Arabidopsis thaliana: one gene and its partner. The protein of the gene in region 1 interacts with the protein of each later gene in a pairwise test. Each region holds a gene or a part of one and is shown on either strand. Other genes may lie near its edges.

Region 1 (5,335 bases):
GACATATATTTTGTAATGTAAGTGCTTATAGTGGACTGGTATCTTCTGGTTTTGCATCCCCTTTAGTTCAAATAGTTACTTCCCATTTTCCTCTGTTGCTCTCTTAGGACCCATTTTTTAGTGATATCATTTTCATTGCCCATTACAAGAAACTTCACTATTGATGGCAGACACCTATAAAGGGATTATGCTCCTTCAGACACTAGAACTCATATCATTCGTTGTCTTAAACAAATGATTAAATCTCAAACCTTTGTATTCTTTGATTGTTTGCCTATTAACTCCTACCATTGATAGGTCTTGGTGATTAATAGCAATGATATACTACTTCTTATTCTATTGGCTTCTCCTTTTTAGAGTTTTACTTTGCTACGACATTATCATTATGTTATGACTTATATTTCTATTAGCTTCCTGTTTAAAATTTACTCTGTTATGACATTATCATTTTACTGTGTTTCTAAGGTTGGAGATCTTACCGCTGATCAAATGGGGAATCAGTGAACCATTCACCGGCACAGAACTGAGGTAAAGTCTGGAAAACATGTTAAAAAAGGTTACTAGTAATGCTGCAATTGTAGGGTTATTTGAACAGAAACAAACCCATATGTGTAGGCTTGTGAATGCCTAGAAACAGGATTGGTGTATCTTCAATATATGTTTCTAAGATGAATCAATTTCATATGCTGCTGTGTGTGTGTGTTACAAACCAATATGTTTGTGTTCACATGAAGCAAGAACGTGGTACCGTTTATGGAATTAGATGGAGAATCAATGAGCGATGACATAACGATAAATTGCACCAACCCCATTATCCTGTGATATTCCTTTTTCCTATGAAAAGTCCACACTTGTCATTAAACACGCAATGTTTTGTTGGACTCTACATGTCAACTGTTATAGTGACGTCATCGGTTCCTTACGTGCCGGCGAATACGAGTTCTTCCACTGGAGTAAGAACTAGCCAACCATGATTTAGAGTTAGGGTGTGCATTTATATCATAGCGAAACGTTGACAAGAAAATATGTTCTCTGCATTTCAAACTTAGGCTGATCTAAACCAAGGGTATACAATTTCTGTAACCCGACACCCAAAATATTGAATCAAATACTGATTCATGGTAAGTGCTTAAAAAGTTTAAATTGAGAGAGTCGAATAATTGAAAAGATTACTTTTTATCTTTCAAATTGATATATCTCATGATATTAATTTGAATTTTGGTAAAAGAAACTTTGTTGAAAATGTATTTGTGGTAGCGATAATGAGTTGTATACAAACATCAATTTCAATTGAATCCCATTCAAAAGAATATTATATACTCTCACAAATGGAATATATCTTTTTTCTAGGGAGGTAGGGAACTAGAAATTTCATCAAGTGGATTACAACCAAACCAACAACAAAAAGGTCTAATGAATTCTCTATTTCTATTCATATATACTAGACTTATGGTATCCTTTTGTCTTTCTCTTCTCCTAATCTCAGACTCTCAGTTACATATTAATAAGAAATTTATTTTATTCAAATACAAAAGGTAGGCTGCTGATAATATCCTACCACCCATTGTGTTACTCTTATTGACATCACTAAAATTAAGATATACACATTCAAGATCAACGGTTGCTTACGTGGTGTGTTTTAGTGTTTATCTTAGTTTGAACATCGAAATAATTTATATTGCATGGAATACTTAACTCAATTTATGAATTATAGAAAGTAAAGTTCTATTCTAGTTTGCCATATTATATCTATGCATAGGTTAGTACTAATATATAGCAACTAATGTGTATTTTTTAAGATGTTTTTTCTTTCACGCTTTTTATAGAGAAACACGTTTTTGTTTCACGTTGGAAACAGAATTCATTGGTAATACAACTGGCTTATCAAACACAAAGATCCTTAAATGTAGATACCGGATCCAAACTTGAACAACATGCTATTGAAGAATCTCTCTCGAAAAAATGACCAAAACTTGTTTTTTTATTTTGTTTTTTTCCAAGGAACCAAAAATCTAGGAAAACAAAATGTTAATCCAAACTATTTTCATTTTATATGATATTTACTCAAAAAAGAAAAAGACCAAAACCATGTTTTCTGTCCATATATTGGTTACAACTTGCAAACCCATGTCGTTATGCTATTTTACACAATCTTAATATTACTAAAATGCTAGTAGTGAAAAACAATAAAGGCTTAGTGATTCCAAAAAATAGCACGCTTGGCATATTCTATGAGTTCATTCATCCAATTCACCAAACAACTATCGTAAACCAATCTATTTACTATTAGGTGTCATGAACTTCTCGTTTTGGAGGCACAACCTATCCTTTTTCAAATAAATAATAGTCCCAAAAGCTATAAACCCCACCATTGTCTATTGCATTACATATTTTGGATATTTTATACAAATATCTACAGTAGTTTCAAAATATATAATCAATACAGGATGTCTACAAAGGGTTAGTAGCGATATAGCATCAACCAAAAATAAAGCCATAGCGCTATAATCTTTTTTTGTAGGAATGTAAAATTGTATTCATCCAAAACATGTTTTACAATTGAATGCCACATAGAGAGCTGATAACAGAAAGAAAGAGTGTATACTCCTATAAGAAACTAGAGTATTAGGAATTGATTTTCAGTGTTAAATGCATCTTTTATCTTTTCACTTGAAACTAGTTTGAATTTCGGTATGTGTTATACGGAAATGGAGATTATGCATCTATTGGAACTATGTTACCTCAATCTTCTGAGCTTTACAATGTTCACATACTTAATCTTCTAAAATACTACTATATTGATAATTCGATATCTAATACTCTCCTTAACTAATCTAGACTACAAAAATCAAAGAATAAATTGCGTATAATAAGAATCGACTTTTGAATCTACTGGGTTTATGCCAACCCTAATGCTATATTGGCAGATGTATGATGTAAACATTTAATTTAATACCAAGTTAAACTATATAAAAAAATTGAGTTAGCTTTAAGCTTTTTGCCAAGTGGAAAGTAAAAAATAGTGACGATGCTCGATCAATTGTATAATTGTAATAAGCACTCTAGCTGCAGCTATAAATACCCTACTAAGTCTCTCATCTATCTTCACTATCTTTTGTGATAAGAAATTCTATTATCAATTCCTATCATTTGTTAAGAAAAAGAGTTAGAAGTATTAATAATCTTACAATATTTATAGATAAGATAACAACAATATGAAGCATTCTCACGTTTTGCTTCTTCTATTTGTTCAAGTCATTGTCCTTTTGCCTCTCCTTTGTCTATCCGACGATTTTGTTAACTCTAGAGCTACTTATTATGGCAGCCCCGATTGCAAAGCAAATCCTCGTACGTATTAAAATTGTTATTGCTATATACATCGTGTACCTTAATTCTTTTTCATTTTCTTAGTTGTTGTATAGACTTGTACACGTTATATATTGGTAAAAGATACATTGGTGTAATATCTCACTATAAGCCATAACTAATTATTTTTGTTTTATATCTACGTATAGGTTTCTTGTTTTGTTTTATTTTGAAGGTTTATTCAAATTCTAAATACATATATGATTGAAAACGAGTCCACTAAGTGTCCATTAACTGCGTAATTAGTAATGATAACTTTCCATTATGAGAATATACATAATATTTGTCGAAAGAATAAGAATAATTAATTAATTTTTTGATGATGCAGGGGGACATTGTGGGTATGGAGAATTTGGAAGAGATATCAATAACGGTGAAGTGAGTGGTGTTTCATGGCGACTATGGAACAATGGAACTGGCTGTGGTGCTTGTTACCAGGTTATTATATATAGTTATCTACTTATCTCAATCAATATTTCATCAAATATTATTATAGTATATGCTATGTCATTAATTACTAAACTTATATTATGAAAGAAAAAAAAACTTATTTTATGAATTATAAAAAGGTGAGGTGCAAGATACCACCACACTGCAGTGAGGAAGGAGTATACGTAGTGGCTACGGACTCCGGAGAAGGAGATGGCACGGACTTCATCTTAAGCCCTAAGGCGTACGGACGTATGGCGCGACCCGGCACAGAAAATCAGCTCTACTCCTTCGGTGTAGTCAACGTTGAGTACCAAAGGATCCCTTGCCGATACGCAGGGTATAATCTGGTGTATAAGATCCATGAGAAAAGCTACAATCCTCATTATCTTGCCATCCTTGTCTTGTACGTTGGTGGTGTTAATGACATCCTCGCCGTTGAAGTCTGGCAGGTAAATTTAATCAAAGATGTTGAGAAACTTAGATATATGTTTTTGAGGATCAAAATATATAGTTTACTCTTAGATGATTTTGTGAAACAAAGTTAAACGTTATTATATGGTATGCATGTATATGTATGATTTTAGGAGGATTGCAAAGAGTGGAGACGTATGAGAAGAGTGTTTGGAGCGGTTCATGATTTGCAGAATCCACCTAGAGGCACTCTCACATTGAGGTTCTTAGTCTACGGAAGCGCAGGAATCAATTGGATCCAATCGCCAAACGCTATTCCCGCTGATTGGACTGCCGGAGCCACCTACGACTCCAACATTCTACTTACTTAATTGATTCACTTTTCATCAGTGTGTTTTTATCATATAGTATTTATTATGGTTTCTGTATGCAATGGCTAATATATTTAAATAATGCCCTCTAGGACAATATAATTAATGATGATAATATAAATAATCGTAGTAGATTCATATATAATTTATGTATTGTGTCTCACTAAGAAGATTGTAATGGTTTGTATGAGTTTGATTTTGATGGAATAAATCAGTACTAATCAATTTATCAGATGATGATCAAACGTTTCGTAAGCTTTTTTTGTTTACATTTTGGTCAGTCAAGCATATATCTCTCCCTAATCAACCATTTTCATGAAAACAAATTGGCGCGATTTTTGTTATATAGATAGGCCCATTAGTAGTATTCACAAGGCCCATTAAAACTTAATTTATCTTGGCCATCCTCTTCGATCGATTTCGTCAGTTTTCTTTGATTCTGGGTAGTAAATAATCGGGATCAATTGTAGAAGAGCTCATCGAGAAAAGAGAGAACCTAAACTTTAAATTCAATTCTGTATTGTTCTCAAACTCGAACCCGAAACTTTAAATCCTTCCTTATTTGTTTTCTGGAGTTCTTGTTTAGAACTGTTTTGGATTTGTTTTTTTTGAGGAGATGCTTTAGTTAACTAGGTTTGCTTCGAGCTGATCGCTGTGTGGCATAAACCCTAATTTCGTGGAAACTGTGCTCTTTTAGAACCGGTCCAGTGAGTAAGGGAATCCAATTGGTGAAGATGCCGCAAGTTAAGATCATT
Region 2 (16,578 bases), on another chromosome or scaffold:
TCTCACTATCAAAAGCTTTCCGGCGACAAAACCAACCATCTCCTCCTTATCTCCACCATGATCTCACTCCACTCATCAGCCATTAAAGCCTCTCTCTACGGCTCTTTCCCTTCTTCGTTACGATCAACACTCTCTGTTTCCTTCTCTGCTGGATCTCTTATTCGGCTTCCTTCCGTCGGCAAGCGCAATCTCTCCGTCGTCGTTTCCTCTGGAAGAGACTCCTCGATGTCATCAAACAATGTTTCTCGCGGATCGTCTTCAAAGGTTCGTCCTTTTGTATATTTCTTGTATGGTGTATATACCCTCGATTGATTTAGGTCATGAAAGATCTGAAAACTCTGTTCTTGTCAATTGTTGATGTTTTGATTCTTTGGCATGTGGGTGCAATTAATTTGCCTGCTCAAGTTGATAACTTGCCATTATCATCTAATTGTCTCGTCTCTCGTTTTTTACACTTGGCCAGGTTGCTGCTGAATCTTTCTTCAGGAGTGTCTTAGGGCAGATGGAAACTGTTTACCTAAATCGAAACCCGACGCCTAAATCCGTCTTGGAGCTTGTTCGATCTGTTGATGACCAGCAACTTTGCTATGATCATCTCGCTTTCAGAACGTTTGGGGTATAAACATTTTTGGCTGCTTCAAAGTTGTAACCATTTTGACAATGTTAAGTTGCTCATTATTGGAATTTGTCTATGGAAATGTTTTAGATTGGTGGTTATGGGATTGACTCGCTTGCAAGCTTTTTCCTTGACTATGGATATACACCGATGGATGAGCTAAAATTTCCGGCCAAAAAGCTTAGAGCTTTGTGGTTTGCACCTCCTAATGCTTCTGCTGTTCCTGGTGGCAGCGGCGTTAACGGTCCTTTACCGAGAGTTTTTATCTCAGAGCTCCTGGTGGACCAGATGAGTTCACAGACTCAGGTAATAATATACTGTCATTGGTTTTGACCCTAGATTATGTTATGAGCTTTGAAGGCAATTTCTTTTGTTTTCAGGATGTAATCAGAAAATACACGGAAGCATCACCTAATGGGAAAAAGTATGCTGGACTTTCTAGTGCTTTGGGTACTTTAACTTGGGAAAAGCCTCTATCTTCTGAGTTTGAGCAATTGGCTAGGTACATATGATCCTAGGTCTCTTTGTTTCTTTTGCTAGATCAAGCTAGAGTAGTTGACTTAAGGTGTGTTGGGTTAAATTGATTAACAGGGAAAGTGAATACGCAGCATGGACCCTTGTCAATGGATATGCACTTAACCACGTCACGATTTCTGTTCATCGGCTTAAATCTCATCTAAACAAAATCAAGAAGCTCAATCAGTTCCTCGAAGAAAAAGGTATCAAATTGAACTCAGAAGGAGGAGTCCTTAAAGGTATGGTTACTAATCTTTATCACTCAATTTAAAAGAAATTAGATTCTAAGCTAATCTTTGTCTTTCTACTTTTACAGTTAGCCCTGATGGTGGTTTGCAGCAAAGCTCAACTGTAGCAGATTCGATATCTTTCAAGTTCGCTGATGGTGTTACCAAATCTATCCCTTGTTCATACATTGAGTTTGCTGAACGCCTTGTACTTCCGCAGTACCAAAATATACCCGAAAGCGAGGTAAGAAACCACTCTGATTGAATCTTAACTTATTTAGAATCCGGTTACTGTGAATCGATGCGATCTTTTCCTTCCCATTGCCTGGAGAACTCCTCTTAGATACCACTAATGTAAAGATGGTGTACCAACATTGTGGAATGACATTTCTGAAACCTACAAAACGCAGATACAAGAGTCTCATCGACGTGATGGATTTGAGGTCGGAAATGCTGACAAGATCTTCGAGAGCACATTTCAGGAGCAGCTTTCCCGACGAACCGGGTGATAGCAAATAGTAGCCACGGCTTTGGATATATGTCAATCATGCCTCGTACATGTGTAACGAGTAAAAAGCTCAAAACTGCTTGTAATCTTGATCAGTAAAGATGCTAATCCAAGAACTCTTAATCAAATATATTTATGTGTATATTTCCGACTACTTTCCTAGTGGTGAGAAGGAGGTAAACAAAGATAACAGGAATAGTTACAAAACATAAAACGATAATGATGTTGTATGGTTTTGTTCTTGTTCTGCATTTGAGCTTGTTTTACCGATTGGTAACTTCTTTGTTCATGATCTCTTACTTTCTCATCATCAGCTTTACAAAAAAAAACAAAAAAAAACAAAAACAACTTGCTGACGTGTCAACGAGGTCAACCAATTAAAGTCTCGAAATTTATAGCAATAGAGTTCCGGTTCGAATTTTCCACCTGAAATAAAAATTGTGGAAGAAAGATCAAATCTTTGACGACATCAAGGAGGAGGATTTGGTAAGCTACAGATAAAAACAAAAGCTATGATATGAGATAATGTAGTCCACCACCACACCAAATTCCCCCTTCACCGTCTCTCTTCGTCGGTGATTCACATTCCGATTTGGTGTCTTTTTTACTCTTAACAAGTCCTCAAAAACCCTACTTTTACTCGAGATTTTGTCTCCGCCGCCGAGTACCAAGTGCCTCCCGATCTACGCCCCAATCCCTAAATGGCTACGGAGGCTACAACCGTACCCAAATTCCAGGAACCTGATCTCCGGCAGGTTTCTCAGACACCGGATTTCAAACCGGAAATCGCTCACGATGGTCTTAAGTTCTGGCAATTTATGATTGCTGGTTCGATTGCTGGCTCCGTCGAACACATGGCGATGTTTCCCGTCGATACCATCAAGACCCATATGCAAGCGCTTCGACCATGTCCCTTAAAACCCGTCGGAATCCGGGAAGCTTTCCGTTCGATTATCCAAAAGGAAGGACCTTCAGCTCTGTATCGCGGGATCTGGGCTATGGGTCTCGGCGCTGGACCTGCTCACGCCGTTTACTTCTCATTCTATGAAGTATCGAAGAAGTATTTATCCGCCGGGGATCAGAACAATTCCGTCGCGCATGCGATGTCCGGCGTATTCGCTACTATATCAAGCGATGCTGTTTTCACTCCCATGGATATGGTGAAGCAGAGGTTGCAGATGGGTGAAGGGACTTATAAAGGAGTCTGGGATTGTGTTAAGAGGGTTTTGCGTGAGGAAGGGATTGGTGCGTTTTATGCTTCTTATAGGACGACGGTTCTGATGAACGCGCCGTTTACGGCTGTTCACTTTGCCACTTACGAGGCTGCTAAGAAGGGATTGATGGAGTTTTCGCCGGATAGAATTAGTGATGAGGAAGGTTGGTTGGTTCACGCTACCGCTGGAGCTGCTGCTGGTGGATTGGCAGCTGCTGTGACTACGCCGCTTGATGTTGTCAAGACGCAGTTGCAATGTCAGGTGAATGATTCCTTCTCTCTAGGATTGGTTGCTCTTTGTCTCTAATCTCTACATCTTTGGCTAGAATAATGTTGGCGATGTGATTAGGTACACAGTGGTGTTAGTGTTACTAGTAAACGGTATATGTGTTATGCTTTTATGTGTGCGTAGTGCTGCAGAATGCTTCTTTAAATGATGCTTTTAGTCTCGAGAGTTGATGCATTTGTGTTGGATTTCGAGTCTATGTGAAGGTCTAAAGCTTCTTAGATGGACTTGTTTCACCTTGTGTGGTTAGATGTTGTATTTTGTGAATAGTGGTTTGTGTAAAAAGAGCTATCAGGACTACTGGCAGATGGTAATCATGTGCTAGAGCTGCAGCATAATTTTGTGGTTGCGGTTTTATGTTCATCACGGTTTGACACTAGTATAGAGCTACCGTTGTAGGAAGAGTGGTTATTTGGTTTCAATGTTTTTACCAGTAAGTTTGAGGTAGAGTGTGTTTAAGGGTTTCAGGTAATGACATTTCGTGGTTGAGCTATCATTAATTCTGTCTTAGTGTAGCATTTATTGAATGTAGGAAAAGTTTTTAATTTGTTTCGTTTCAAATGTGATCTTATGAGGTGTGAAAGATGGGGAGGGGTCAAATAATTTCAGGTCTAGCTGTAGAATCTTTAGCATTTCGAGATATGTTAAGGCTTTCTAGTGCATAGTACTTGTATATCCTCCGCTTAAATGTTTTTACTTGTATATCCTCCGCTTAAATGTTTTTGACTATTTGTAGTTGTGCATCTGGAATATTAGTGTTTCTTGATAGAGCTTAGACATCTTTTGCAAAACTCTTATTGACCTAGCATAAAGTTTAAGAGCAATGTCCATGATTTCTTTGCTATAAAATGTGTAAAATATGGCCTCAATCATCTGTGTTAATGTGCAGGGTGTGTGTGGATGTGACCGCTTCACTAGTAGTTCTATTAGCCATGTACTTAGAACGATAGTGAAAAAAGATGGATACAGAGGACTTCTAAGGGGATGGCTCCCGAGAATGCTCTTCCATGCTCCTGCAGCAGCAATCTGTTGGTCCACTTATGAAGGAGTTAAATCTTTCTTTCAAGACTTCAATGTCGATTCAAACACTGCCTGAAAAAAAGACAAAAGGGTTAGGCTATTTCACACTCTTGAGGATCCTGCTTTTCTTATTTGTTTGTAACATAGTTTTCTCAGGTTTTCTATGAAGTCATTTTTAGATTATATATTTTCCAGGTTTGTGTTGATGATAATGTCGTCGAGAAATTTTGATTAGAGTTGTACAAAACTATGTTCCTTCCAAATTTCTAATAATAACTTAACGAGGCATACATATATCTTACACGTACTAGACAATTTGGAGAAAAATAAATGCTTTTGGAGGAACATTCAACTCCTTTTGCATCATGGACTAATTCACATGAGTTGGAGAAAAATAAGTAACTAGAGAAAGTGTAGAGCACGATCCACATGAGTTGTCTCCAATCTGCGCCTTTAATTCTAGTCTCCGAGATTCTCTGGTTAGAGTTTTGCGAGGTAATCTTCAGGTTTTGTATCGTCGTAGCTTCAATGCTCCAAACATTCCCAACATGGCGGTGGAAGATTCAACGGCACCAAAATTTAAGGAACAAGACCTCCAGTTGTGGCAGTTGATGATTGCAGGTTCAGTTGCTGGTTCCTTTAAGAACATGACGATGTTTCCTGTTCGCACCTTGGATCAACGTATGCTGCATCGTTCGTATTCGCAAAGACATGTCGGAATCCGGCAGGCTCTGCGTTCGGTAATCCAAACGGAAGGACCATCGGCTCTGTACCGTGGGATATGGTATATGAGGCATGGAGCCATGGGACCCGCTCAATTCGTACATTTCTCCTTCTACGATGTATCCAAGAATTTCTTGTCTACCGGGAATCCAAACAACCCCGTGGTGCACGTGATTTCCTGGGCCTTCACGGCTGTATGGAGTTATGCCGTTTCAACTCCTGTTGATATGGCGAAGCTGAGGCACCAAAATGGGTTCGGTAACTACAAAGGCGTCTGGGATTGCGCCAAAAGGGTGACTCATGAGGAAGGAATCAGTAAGTTTTGAAATTCCGGATGAACCAAGAATCGTATTCCCCAAACTCAGAACCACTGAGTATCACTTTATTAGAAATCTGATTAAGAAGTTTACAACTACCTTAATTGGTTTTACACAAGATCTAAACTACTTTAGCTTGTCACCTGAGATTTCCTTAAACACACAAGAGCAGATCACAAGAACACACTCTTTGATCTCTCTAGAATTCCAATCAGACTAAACCTTAGTCTCTAATAATGAAAAGCGTTGCACTAGCTTTTCACTCACAATCACGGCCCCGTCTAACAAGAACCTTAGCACCTCTATTTATACTATCGAGGTCTTTGGTCTTCTAGGTTAGCGTTCGAGATCTTGGATCACTCCAAATCTTCGCATGAATATCTCCTCTCCAAACTGAACTCATCCTGTTGTGATCTCCACGTCATTCGTTCATTTGGCGGCATATCCACGTCAGCATCAATTACTTGATCTTCACTTTAGTCTTCTGAAACAGCTTCCAGCTTGTTCCAGCAATCAGCACTCCTTCTGGTTTGTCCTGATAGAGGGGTGCACTAACAAGTTCTTCACTTTTTACAGAACGGGGATTCGGATATATGTGTATTCTTCTGCTGTTCATTTCGTGACATAGGAGGCAGCCAAGAGGAAACTGATAGAGATATCACCGAAAAAGAAGAATTGGTGGTTGGTTCATGCCACCGCAGGAGCCACCGCCGGTGGATTGGCAGTTGCTCTGACTTGGCCGCTTGGTATTGTAGCTATGACGCTTTCTCAGCCGACGGGCCCTTCTAAGGTGATTGACCCACATCTGAACATTTCATTGGAGGATTATTTAAGGAAAACACACACGCACGCTCACAATGTAAAAGCAAAAACAAAAGTAGACAATCAAGGCATAAATATAAACAAAATGATTTTAAGATGTGTGTAACTAACTAATCGACCAGGCCAGACATAGCCTATGATCTTCTTCTTCTTCTTCTTCTTCTTATAACTTATCTGGTCATGTGCAGCATGTCACTAGGGTTTCATTGAGCCATGTGTTCGTATCCTTTGTGAAATATGAAGGGTTTATGCCTCCCCAGAATGTTCATCCATGCATCAGCAACAGCCATATGTTGGTCCACTTACGAGGCGGCCAAATCTTTCTTTCAGGACCTCAACGGCGATTCAGAACGGCCTGATAAAGATCAAACGGATGGGACAGCGAATCGATATCACAACAACTACCGAGTTTTTAAATTAAGCTTTGTTTATCTTGATTTGTTCTCCTCTATTTGTTTTACACAAATATAAAAACTAAACAATAAGCACCAGTGGTCTAGTGGTAGAATAGTACGTTTGATTCCCGGCTGGTGCATCTAAGCTGTGATAAAATTGGCTTTAGCGTAGGTTGGGTCCTTCGCATCCTTCTGAATTCTCAGTTGATAACGCCACACTCCCGATCTCTTTTTTTTTTTAAAAGCTTTGATGTTTCTGGAATATCGCAACTCCGTCAAATTCGTATATTTGATATCTCACACTCGGATAATTTGTGTCTGTTTCAAGTTCCAGCCGATGCAACTAAGGTCCTGACTTTGATTCATGTTTGGGCCTCATATAGTGGGCATCTTTTAATATGGGCTTATATATATATATATATGGATCTGGTAATCCGAGTCAACTCAGTCGTCTCAATCCGTGTAACAACTTCATCGTCTTTTTCAGTTCAACAACTTCATCGTCTTTTTCAGTTCAACCTCCGACATCTCTCGTCTCCAGGTGATTGATCCCATCGAAGGGTCTATGGAAGGTTCTTCTACTCTCCTTTTTCTTCTGTTTAATTCTTATGAGGATCCGTAAGACACATTTGTTTCTTCGGATTTTTGGAAATTGAGATCTGCTTAATTCGTTAACCGGATGCATTATTTGCAGAGAACAACAACGCCGGGAGCGATTCCGACTCTAATTCCGTCGAAGATTCACAAGACTATTACGAACCGATCTCAGCCGTCGATTTATATAACTCCAACGACGATGAAGAAGACAGTTATCTTCCGATCGGTGGAGATGGTCTCTCTAACGGCCATTGTATGATTCCGGATGCAGAGGTAGGAATCTCTTCTATTAGTATAAACGATAACACAGACAGCGAAGAAGAGACAGAGACGGAGACTGGACCGGAGATCCGTAGAGCGTTTGAGGAGGACGAACGGCGGAGAAGATCGCCGTTAGTGGAGGAGAATGCCGTTAGGGTTATGGAGGCAATGCGAGCCATCTCATTCCCTGGAACGGCTCCTGATTGGGCCTCCGATGTTAATGAGGATCGTTGGATTGATCAGCTTCGAAGATTGAGAACCACTTCTCAATAAGCTTTCTCCAATCTCGATAGTTGTTTTCGTTTAAGATCTTTCTCAATGTTGTTCAATGTGACTTCTTTTAAACATTCAATATAAAAACCAGAGAATTTCACCACTCTTTAAGTAACACTAACCAGTGTTTTTGCTATACAAAACCTTTACTTGATGAGTATAGTATGTTGTATCTGATGATTCACACACATATATACATAGATACGTACATAGAGTTCAAAGTATGGCCTCGCTCAACTGCATCTGGACCTTGTCTGAAAGACTGAAACCTTCTGATGCTTTATTATGTGTATGATGACAAATACGGTGATAAAGTTTGAATCTTGAACATGAGAGTCTGGTTCTTTTTTTTAAATGTAATCTGCAACCTGAAGTTCATGAAGTCTGTCACGGTTGCTCCTTATTACTCTAGCTTTGTCCCCTCTTATCTCCAGAACCTGAAGAAACAATTCCAGTTTCAGAATCTCTGTGTGGACTTATGTAAGAAAGACATGAAACGCGACGAGTCAAGAACCAATATTGCTAGATACCTCTGGTCTAGAGTCAAGAACACCACTGGACATTCCTACATCAACTCTCCATATGCCGCAACCATATTCACTATCAACAACAAAAACTCATGTTTCAAGATTGTCGTGAAGTTTCTCTATTACAAGTTTTGGGGTTGAGTTTGATAAATGTACCAGTTAACCCCTGATAACTGGGGAGTATGCCCGACCACCATCGCTTTGGCACCTACAGCTTCAAGAGTGTCGTGAAGAATTTTATTTACCTGATAAGAAAAAGAAGTCAGGAAACACATTAAACCAAGCTGATGATGATATCTGTCTTAGCAGTTTTGAGATTTTGGTGATTAAAATTCTACTTGCCTGTTCAATTTGATAGTCCTCAAGCTCAGAAGTCTCTCTTGAGTAAAGTCGGCTCCAGACTACACTGTCATATCCTCGAGTCGCAATGAACGGCATCTGAGGACTGTCTTCATAGTTAGTAGGGCTTCTCATCCAAGTAGAGACTTCTCTGTTTATCCTCTCTATGCCGTATGCAACTGTGCAAGGACATTATAAGCATATGATATATCAAATCCAAAAGATCACCGAGAGGAAATGTTGAGATAGATTTGACTGTCCTTACCATGGTGAGGAAGGAGACCACCGTGGCAGAAGAGCCAGTTATTAACACGGAGAATAACTCCGTGACGCGACAATTCACATGCTAAACGACCACCTGGTCTGAGAAGGACCGACCTTGCAATTACTCCCTTTTGCCTCTGTCCTAATGGTTTTCCCACCGACTTTTGGTTAACCAACGAATACAAAAACTAAGAAAACTCAGAGAGGACAAGGCAAAATGAAGTACCTTTACTACATTCCATTGATCCCAATAGGTTTGAGAACTCCTCCTATCTTCTTTCCATTGTCTTGACTCAAAAATCCAATTCCTAAACGCTTTGTCCCAGTCTTGTGCATAGTCCTCCAAGTAGTCAAGAAAATCAGTACACTCATCAAATGCTCTCGCATCTACATATCTGAAATCCCCTTCAACATTCATTGTCTCGTGGTTCCCATTAACCTTTAAAATGTGACAAGAAGTTACTCTTTGTTAGTCCTATCAATTATCATCATTCTAGAACTAGCAAATTAAAATGTGTAGAGTGCAAAAGCTTCTCTGTGTAAAATTTACTTATGAAATTCAAGTATGATAGCAATCAAAAACCTGGAAAACAGCTCCACCATTAGCCTTGGCCTGATCATCAAGTGACCTCAATAAGGAGAGTATTGCGATTTCATCATCACCGCGATCAAGTATATCTCCTACCTGAACTAGTACCTGTATTTTCATTATGATTTCACAACTCATAAGCATTTAACTCAAAAGAATCAGTCATCATAATGAACCTCAAGATGCGTAATGTTGAACTCTAGCAGATACTGTCAATAATATCATCAAGCAAACCATTTAACACGATACTGAACCACTAAGAGATAATGTACATACGGTGTCTTGGCCGACCCACTGGTCTCGTCCGTCGGAGCTCAAGACGCCAGCCAACTGAAGTGCGTCTCTGGCTTTACCCAGATCGCCATGAAGGTCTCCAACTGTGAGTGCATATCCAAAACCAAAACCTACTCAATTTTGTTGTCAAATTATCAAAAAGATTGAAACTTTTCAGATTAATGGTGGCGAACCTGCAACGATACGACGAGCAGGAGCAGAGACGAAAGTGGGTGGATCTCCATTGATGACAATCGGCTTCAGAGCAAGTTCGTTACCATTAGAAGTGCTCAACAAAGAGGAAGAAGAAGGTTCTAAAAGTTTCTGGGGGTGAGAAGGAGGAAGTGGAAGTAAGGAATTGAGGTAAAGGGAAGCCATTGGTATTGGTGGTGGAGAAGCAATGATCCACCAGAGCTTTGATGAAATCACTTAACATTTGTGTTCGTCTGGTCTATAATTTGTGTGACTTGTCTCCAATTGCATGCTCAGTAATCAAATCCCTTTTATCTATCTACTGGCTGAGGTTTTTCCTCTCAATTTTTGGTTTTTCTGTTTTTAATAAAATAAAAGATAACCACAAAGACAAAAATTGGGCCTCTCAACCTTATCAAACTTATCGATCCCAAAAATGAATAATATGTCCATTGGGCCATCTAAAGCCCAAGTGTACTGGACGCCGAAAATTCAACGTAACGAAGTCATCGGCCCATAACCAATTTCCATGATGACCAAACGCACAACGCGGTTGTTAAATTGCGTTCACGTTCTGTAAACATCAAACCAGACAGAACCAAAAGAGAAAAATCGAAACGAAGACAAAGTCGTGGTCGTGGCACTAAGAAATTACAGATTCCATTAAAATACAAACAGAAGCACACAACTAAGTCAGACATGGTTCCCGCGTTTAATCTCCGAAGACTTTGTCAATATTATAGTCTTCGTCTATGGATTTTCGTCTTTATTCTCCCAATTCCACCAATTCCGTAATTTCCCCGAACATTATTAATTCCCATCCAATCATATGGCTGAAGCCGGTGACGAGAATCTTTACGCCGCCGCCAGAGACATCGCCAGAGCTCTCGGCAAGGATCCAAGTGCCGCCGGAGATATCTTACAGATTCTCTCCGGTTATGGCGCTTCCGGAAACCGCGGCGGAGATCCTCGACCCACCCCATCCCGCGGCGGCTCAAACGTCAACTTTGACCGAGCCCTCACCTCTTTAGAGAGACAGATCTCCAGCTACATCGTGGAAGATCGACCGATCTGGTCTGATCCCGTTGACTCGCGCACCTTCCTCGACTCTGTTGATGAGCTACTTGCGATTGCCGGAGACTTGAGATCCATGGCCGGAGATAAATCCGTCGCCGTCTGTCAATCCCGTGCCGATGAGCTGATTCAACAGGTGATGTTTAGGCTTCAAGAAGAGTTTGGATTTGTAATGGACCGAGCCCCTGACTCGTTTGACTCGGACGATGAGTTCCCCGGCGAAGAAGACAACGACACAAGCGACGGGGTAATTAATTCATCTGTAAATTTATTACTAAATTAGTTTTGGAATTAGAATTAGAAAATTCGGTTTACTATCGGTTATATTGTGGTTAAGTGATTCACAATTGAATAGGTAATCGTTGCTCGTCCAATCACTGATTACAAAATCGTGATCGAGGCGTTACAATCTAGCGTTATTGGCGATCTAAACGCGATCGCTGTGCGCATGGTCGCTGGTGGATTTGCAAAAGAGTGTTCAAGAGTGTACAGCAGTCGACGAAGAGAGTTTCTAGAGGAGAGTTTGTCGAGGTTACATCTCAGAGGACTAAGTATGGAGGAAGTGCAAGAGAGTCCATGGCAAGATCTTGAAGACGAAATCGACCGTTGGATTAAAGCCGTAACGCTGATATTCCACGTTTTCTTCCCGAGCGAGCGTCTTCTCTGCGATCGCGTTTTCTCTGATCTTCCTGTTTCCTCTGTAACCGATCTTTCTTTCATGGAAGTTTGTCGCGGAACCACAACACAGCTTCTGAATTTCGCAGACGCGATCGCTTTAGGAAGCCGTTTACCTGAACGTTTGTTTAAGGTTGTGGATTTATACGAAGCGATGCAAGACCTTATTCCTAAGATGGAAACGCTATTTTCTGATCGATATTGTTCGCCGCTAAGGCATGAGGCGCTCGCGATTCATAAACGGTTAGGAGAAGCGATTAGAGGGATATTTATGGAGCTGGAGAATTTAATCCGACGTGACCCTCCCAAAACAGCGTTTCCTGGCGGTGGGATTCACCCGATCACGCGGTACGTGATGAATTATCTGCGTGCGGCGTGTAAATCGCGGCAATCGTTGGAGCAGATACTTGACCAGACAGGAAATGAAACCGGATCAGATACGAGACCGTTGTCTGTGCAAATCATATGGGTTTTGGAGTTGTTGGAGAGTAACTTGGAAGGCAAGAAAAGAACTTATCGTGATCCGTCTTTGTGTTTCTTGTTCATGATGAACAATGACAAGTATATTCTTGATAAGGCTAAGGATAACGAGCTAGGTTTAGTCCTAGGAGAAGATTGGATTGTGAAGCACGCAGCGAAACTGAGGCAATACCATTCTAATTACCGAAGGAGCTCATGGAACCAAGTGGTGGGATTGCTTAGGACCGATGGTCCGTATCCCAAGTTAGTAGAGAACCTAAGATTGTTCAAATCACAGTTCGATGAGGTGTGTAAGGTGCAATCTCAATGGGTTGTTAGTGATGGGCAATTGAGGGAGGAGTTAAGAAGCTCTGTTGCCGGAATTGTATCTCCGGCGTACTCGAATTTCATCAGAAGATTGAAGGAGTCACCGGAGATTAATGGGAGGCGTGGAGAGCCGTTTATTCCGTATACTGTTGAAGATGTGGAGTTTATAATCAAACGGTTGTTCAAGGAAAGCTCAAGTTGATTAAATTAGATATGAAAAGAAATTAAAAAATTCTTATTAATTGAATTTTTTTGTAAAATTGTGAATCATTCTGTGTTTTTTTATCTTTCTTGGGTGAATAATGTTCATGGATCGGTGGAATCACCTTTTCGACATTGATTTGTTCATGTATTGCTTTTTTGATGTAAGAAATTTCCTTAAGGTTAAAATATAATTCGTTTGGGTTTCAAAACGGACTTACGAGCATTGTGCTATAGAGTTACAACTTACCAGGATAGAGTAGTATAATATCATAATAGTATACATGTAAAACCTAGCTTAAGCAAATACGAAAGATTATGTGAACCCACAGGGAAATAATTATAGATTGACTACAGATTAATTAATATATATGAAAGCAAAATGAAAATCAAGAGAGTACGTGGAAAATTTGTTCAACAAGACTGAGACTGATGACTATGTAAGCAATTTGGGAAGGATGAATATCGTCCCAGAAAAGGTACTGGTTAGGGTTAGGACAAATCCGAGTTAAAGCATTGCACAAGTACGCTAACTCTATTTCTCCAGTCCCGCAACATCCTCTCGTCGTCTCCTTTAACCCTGTCCCATTCAAAGGAATAACATTGATAACTACTTAGCTTTGTAATAAAATGAAATATTTTATAGTCTTGAATGTTCTCTTATAACAAACTATAATTTCAAAACCTGTAAAAAAAATTATCAGTAAAAATCCTGTAAAATACATGCACTTCACACGTATGTGATATATACTAATATGAGAGAATTGTGCGGAGAAAATTGGATTATGCTTTGGGTTTGATTGATTTCTTTTTTCTTATTTTGCATTTATGCAATATCTTTTTTAAATGATCCAATATAACAACCTCAAATATATTTTTTCCAAATACAATATAATCTAGAAAGAGATGCAATTGATCAAAACTCAAGGAAAACTAGATTTAGTGCGAAACGTTATTTGCATGGGAGTAAAGGAAACGTAACGTTACCGTATCTTTGAGGATTAGTGGCCATGTCGAACAATGCTCCGTAGATATCGCCGTAGAAGATGACACTTCCAGTGAGGTTGGATTGCATCTCCGTCAAGGAGTTTTTTAGCTTCTGGTTAAACTCTTGTGAATCTGAGTTTTGTTTGTCGATGCATCGTCTCTCGTTCTGCTTTTGCATAGCCATTGTCATCTGAATTGGTAAACACCCGACCGGCGGTAGACCCAACACCATTATTTTACGGCATCCAATGTCATATAGTTCCTATAATAATATACATCAACAACACAAAATTAACATTGTCGAAACCAAAATATGGAAAAGAAATTAAAATAAAATAAAATAATTCTATAATTAAAAACCATATGTATGGTTTAATAGGATTGTTTACTTGAACGAAGTTGTGTACATTCGAGAGAATGAAGCTTTGATAGCCATCAACGCCAAGCTTCTGACGACGAGAAGGAGTATCGTAGAGATTTAGATTGAAATCGTTAGTTCCGGAGCTTACAATCACCAGAGCCTCGCTGACTATCGAGGCCGCTTTCTCGTCCCCGACGATCTGGCTCAACCTCTCCACGTAACTTCTGAGCATATCCGCCTGTTTATCAACGGATAGAGTTGAAGTTGCTCGATCTGTGAGGTTGTCGTAACCGGAACCAGCCGAAGCAAAGCACACTCCGGTGATGATATCGGAATCAGACAAGTGAGGGTCTAGGAAAGGAGGAACGGTGTCTTTGATTCCCATAAGAGATGCTATGAAGTCCGGAATAAGTTTACCGTTAGAGAATCTTCCGGTAGCGTTGTGGCCGGGGAAATTGCAGCCGTAAGGAGGGAAATTAGCCCGGATGTAGGTTTTGATGTAGTTGTTGTTGCCGGTATCGATTGTTGAATCCCCGAATACAAGAATAGCCGGGAACATTGATACGTTAACGTTGGTCACGTTAATCACATATGCATGGCATGTCGTCGAGAATTGCATTGTCGTTATGATCATGAATATAATTACATGGATCAACATTTTGTCTCTTCTTCTCTCTTTTCTTTCTTCCCTTTATAGGACGACTCGGTTGATTATTGGAGTCTACTAGTACTATATGTAATGTATGTCTCATATTAAAATAAAAAATAATCCCCTTGAACTGTTGACATTTTAGGCAAAAACTCATGGCCATTGTTTTAATGGGCCAATCAAATGGGCTTTATAGAGAGCCCATAGTATTGAGCTTTTTTTCTTTTCTTTCTAGAGCTTAAAATAGATAATTTTGCTGACGCCTGAGTTTTGAATTTGAGAGTTGTTTGTTAAAACTCTTACTTACTTTCGTTTTTAATTAGATTAATCTTGTCGCAATATGTATGAATGTATCACAAGTTCATTATTTTTCTTTTTTGACAGCTTTCAACTTTCTAAGCCACAAAAACCCATCTTCAGTCTTTAACATCAGAGATTCAGAGTGACTTCTTTCTTCTTCATACCCCCACTCCATGACTCCAATATATGTTTGTCCGAACTCATCTACAAAAATCACAGACATACTGTCATTCAATCATTTAAGAGTATTTTTATATCAATCATAAAAAAAAATAGATAGAAATTATATGGTCGAGTAATTGTATAGTGAGACAGTAGTTGATAAATGATTAATAATAGCGTTACAACCAAAAGAATTAATGCATGCACATATTATCTTCTGAAACGTTAAAATATGTACATAGAAGGAAACCCACGAGATCATGCAAAAGATTATACACCAATAATGTATATTTATGTGGTTGTTATGTTAACGTATATATCTTGGTAGAATCTCTTAAAAAACTAGATTCTCCTAAGTAATAACACGCTGCCAAACAAACAAAAAAAGTCCAAACACGGAAACGAGTTTGGTATAGAAGTTCGTGCAGGAGGAGATCAATTAAGATTACGAAAATCATTTAGGCTCCAAAACAAAAAGATATTGCACACGAGGGAAAATCTAAACAAACGTGTGTTGTAGGCTGGAAAGATCTCTAATATCTATGCTAAGAATTTTAATTATTGCATTGGTTTGTCTTTATTCGATCAGGTACGTTCCCCCTAAAACACCAATTCATCCCATAATCTATACTATAATACTAATTACTAGTGATTTCCGTTGGTTTTAGAAAAAAGTGTTGCTAAAATGAAATCTTCCTCGGCGTTGGGAGAATAAGTATTAATAACATAATGAATGTTATTAAAAAATGAAATGCTTGTGAAAATGTTGACCATGCTATATACTTTATATTCATTAATGTTTCATACTTTCTTACCAACTCTTAATGTTCAAGTGATTGATCCTAAAAAAGCATGATATAGGCTTCAAATCATTTGACAGCAATTTCAATCATGATTAGTTCTTATAATTGTATAAAGTTAAATAACAGGAATACCTCACTTTTTATATATACAAATTCTCAAAAATAGTTTGAATCACCCTGTTAGACATAAGGCCAATGTGGAGATTGTGAAAGCACTGAGTTCGTATTCCTTACGTACTTTCCAGTTATAAAAGACATGTTTAATTTCCATATTCCTTACGTATAGATTGTAGAATGAGATGAAATGGAGCTAGTATTCGAAGTTTGTAAATGGAGCTACAAAATAATACTCCTTACGTATAGATTGTAGAATGAGAGGAAATGGAGCTAGAATTCGAAGCTTGTAAATGGAGCTACAAAATAACATTTGAACCCAAAGACGCCAGTTATACTTATCATAACTTATATTCCCCAATTATATAATTACATTTGCATATTCTCTGGATTAATAATGTATTCGGATAATTGAGAAAAGAGGGAAGAAATTGACAATTAATGCTTTGTAAAATAAGTTTTTAAATAGTGCAAACTTGATTAAGTGGTTAATTAACAATCCACCGTG

What was found.
Region 2: the proteins of EXLB1 (region 1) and SLP1 interact in a two-hybrid assay, tested with the Arabidopsis thaliana proteins (one large-scale study listed by BioGRID).

The regions. Positions count from the first base shown.
Region 1 is NC_003075.7:9,581,062-9,586,396, reverse strand, and holds EXLB1 (expansin-like B1), read left to right. Parts: upstream 1-3,106; 5' UTR 3,107-3,215; coding exon 3,216-3,348; intron 3,349-3,694; coding exon 3,695-3,804; intron 3,805-3,935; coding exon 3,936-4,247; intron 4,248-4,382; coding exon 4,383-4,580; 3' UTR 4,581-4,835; downstream 4,836-5,335. Other genes in the region: AT4G17020 (transcription factor-like protein), read left to right, coding at 5,315-5,335.
Region 2 is NC_003070.9:2,146,515-2,163,092, reverse strand, and holds SLP1 (Calcineurin-like metallo-phosphoesterase superfamily protein), read right to left. Parts: upstream 10,214-16,578; 5' UTR 10,145-10,213; coding exon 9,961-10,144; intron 9,898-9,960; coding exon 9,785-9,897; coding exon of another isoform or gene 9,770-9,784; intron 9,703-9,769; coding exon 9,670-9,702; intron 9,602-9,669; coding exon of another isoform or gene 9,590-9,601; coding exon 9,488-9,589; intron 9,344-9,487; coding exon 9,131-9,343; intron 9,042-9,130; coding exon 8,906-9,041; intron 8,820-8,905; coding exon 8,644-8,819; intron 8,547-8,643; coding exon 8,458-8,546; intron 8,375-8,457; coding exon 8,305-8,374; intron 8,212-8,304; coding exon 8,125-8,211; 3' UTR 7,855-8,124; downstream 1-7,854. Other genes in the region: AT1G07040 (plant/protein), read left to right, coding at 58-264, 464-616, 707-922, 997-1,118, 1,208-1,371, 1,449-1,603, 1,770-1,868; AT1G07030 (Mitochondrial substrate carrier family protein), read left to right, coding at 2,569-3,342, 4,256-4,462; AT1G07025 (Mitochondrial substrate carrier family protein), read left to right, coding at 4,935-5,435; AT1G07020 (uncharacterized protein), read left to right, coding at 7,209-7,215, 7,338-7,774; EXO70B2 (exocyst subunit exo70 family protein B2), read left to right, coding at 10,788-11,279, 11,388-12,695; AT1G06990 (GDSL-like Lipase/Acylhydrolase superfamily protein), read right to left, coding at 13,084-13,274, 13,682-13,943, 14,071-14,700. UniProt on the Arabidopsis thaliana protein: Shows phosphatase activity, hydrolyzing the artificial substrate para-nitrophenylphosphate (pNPP) in vitro.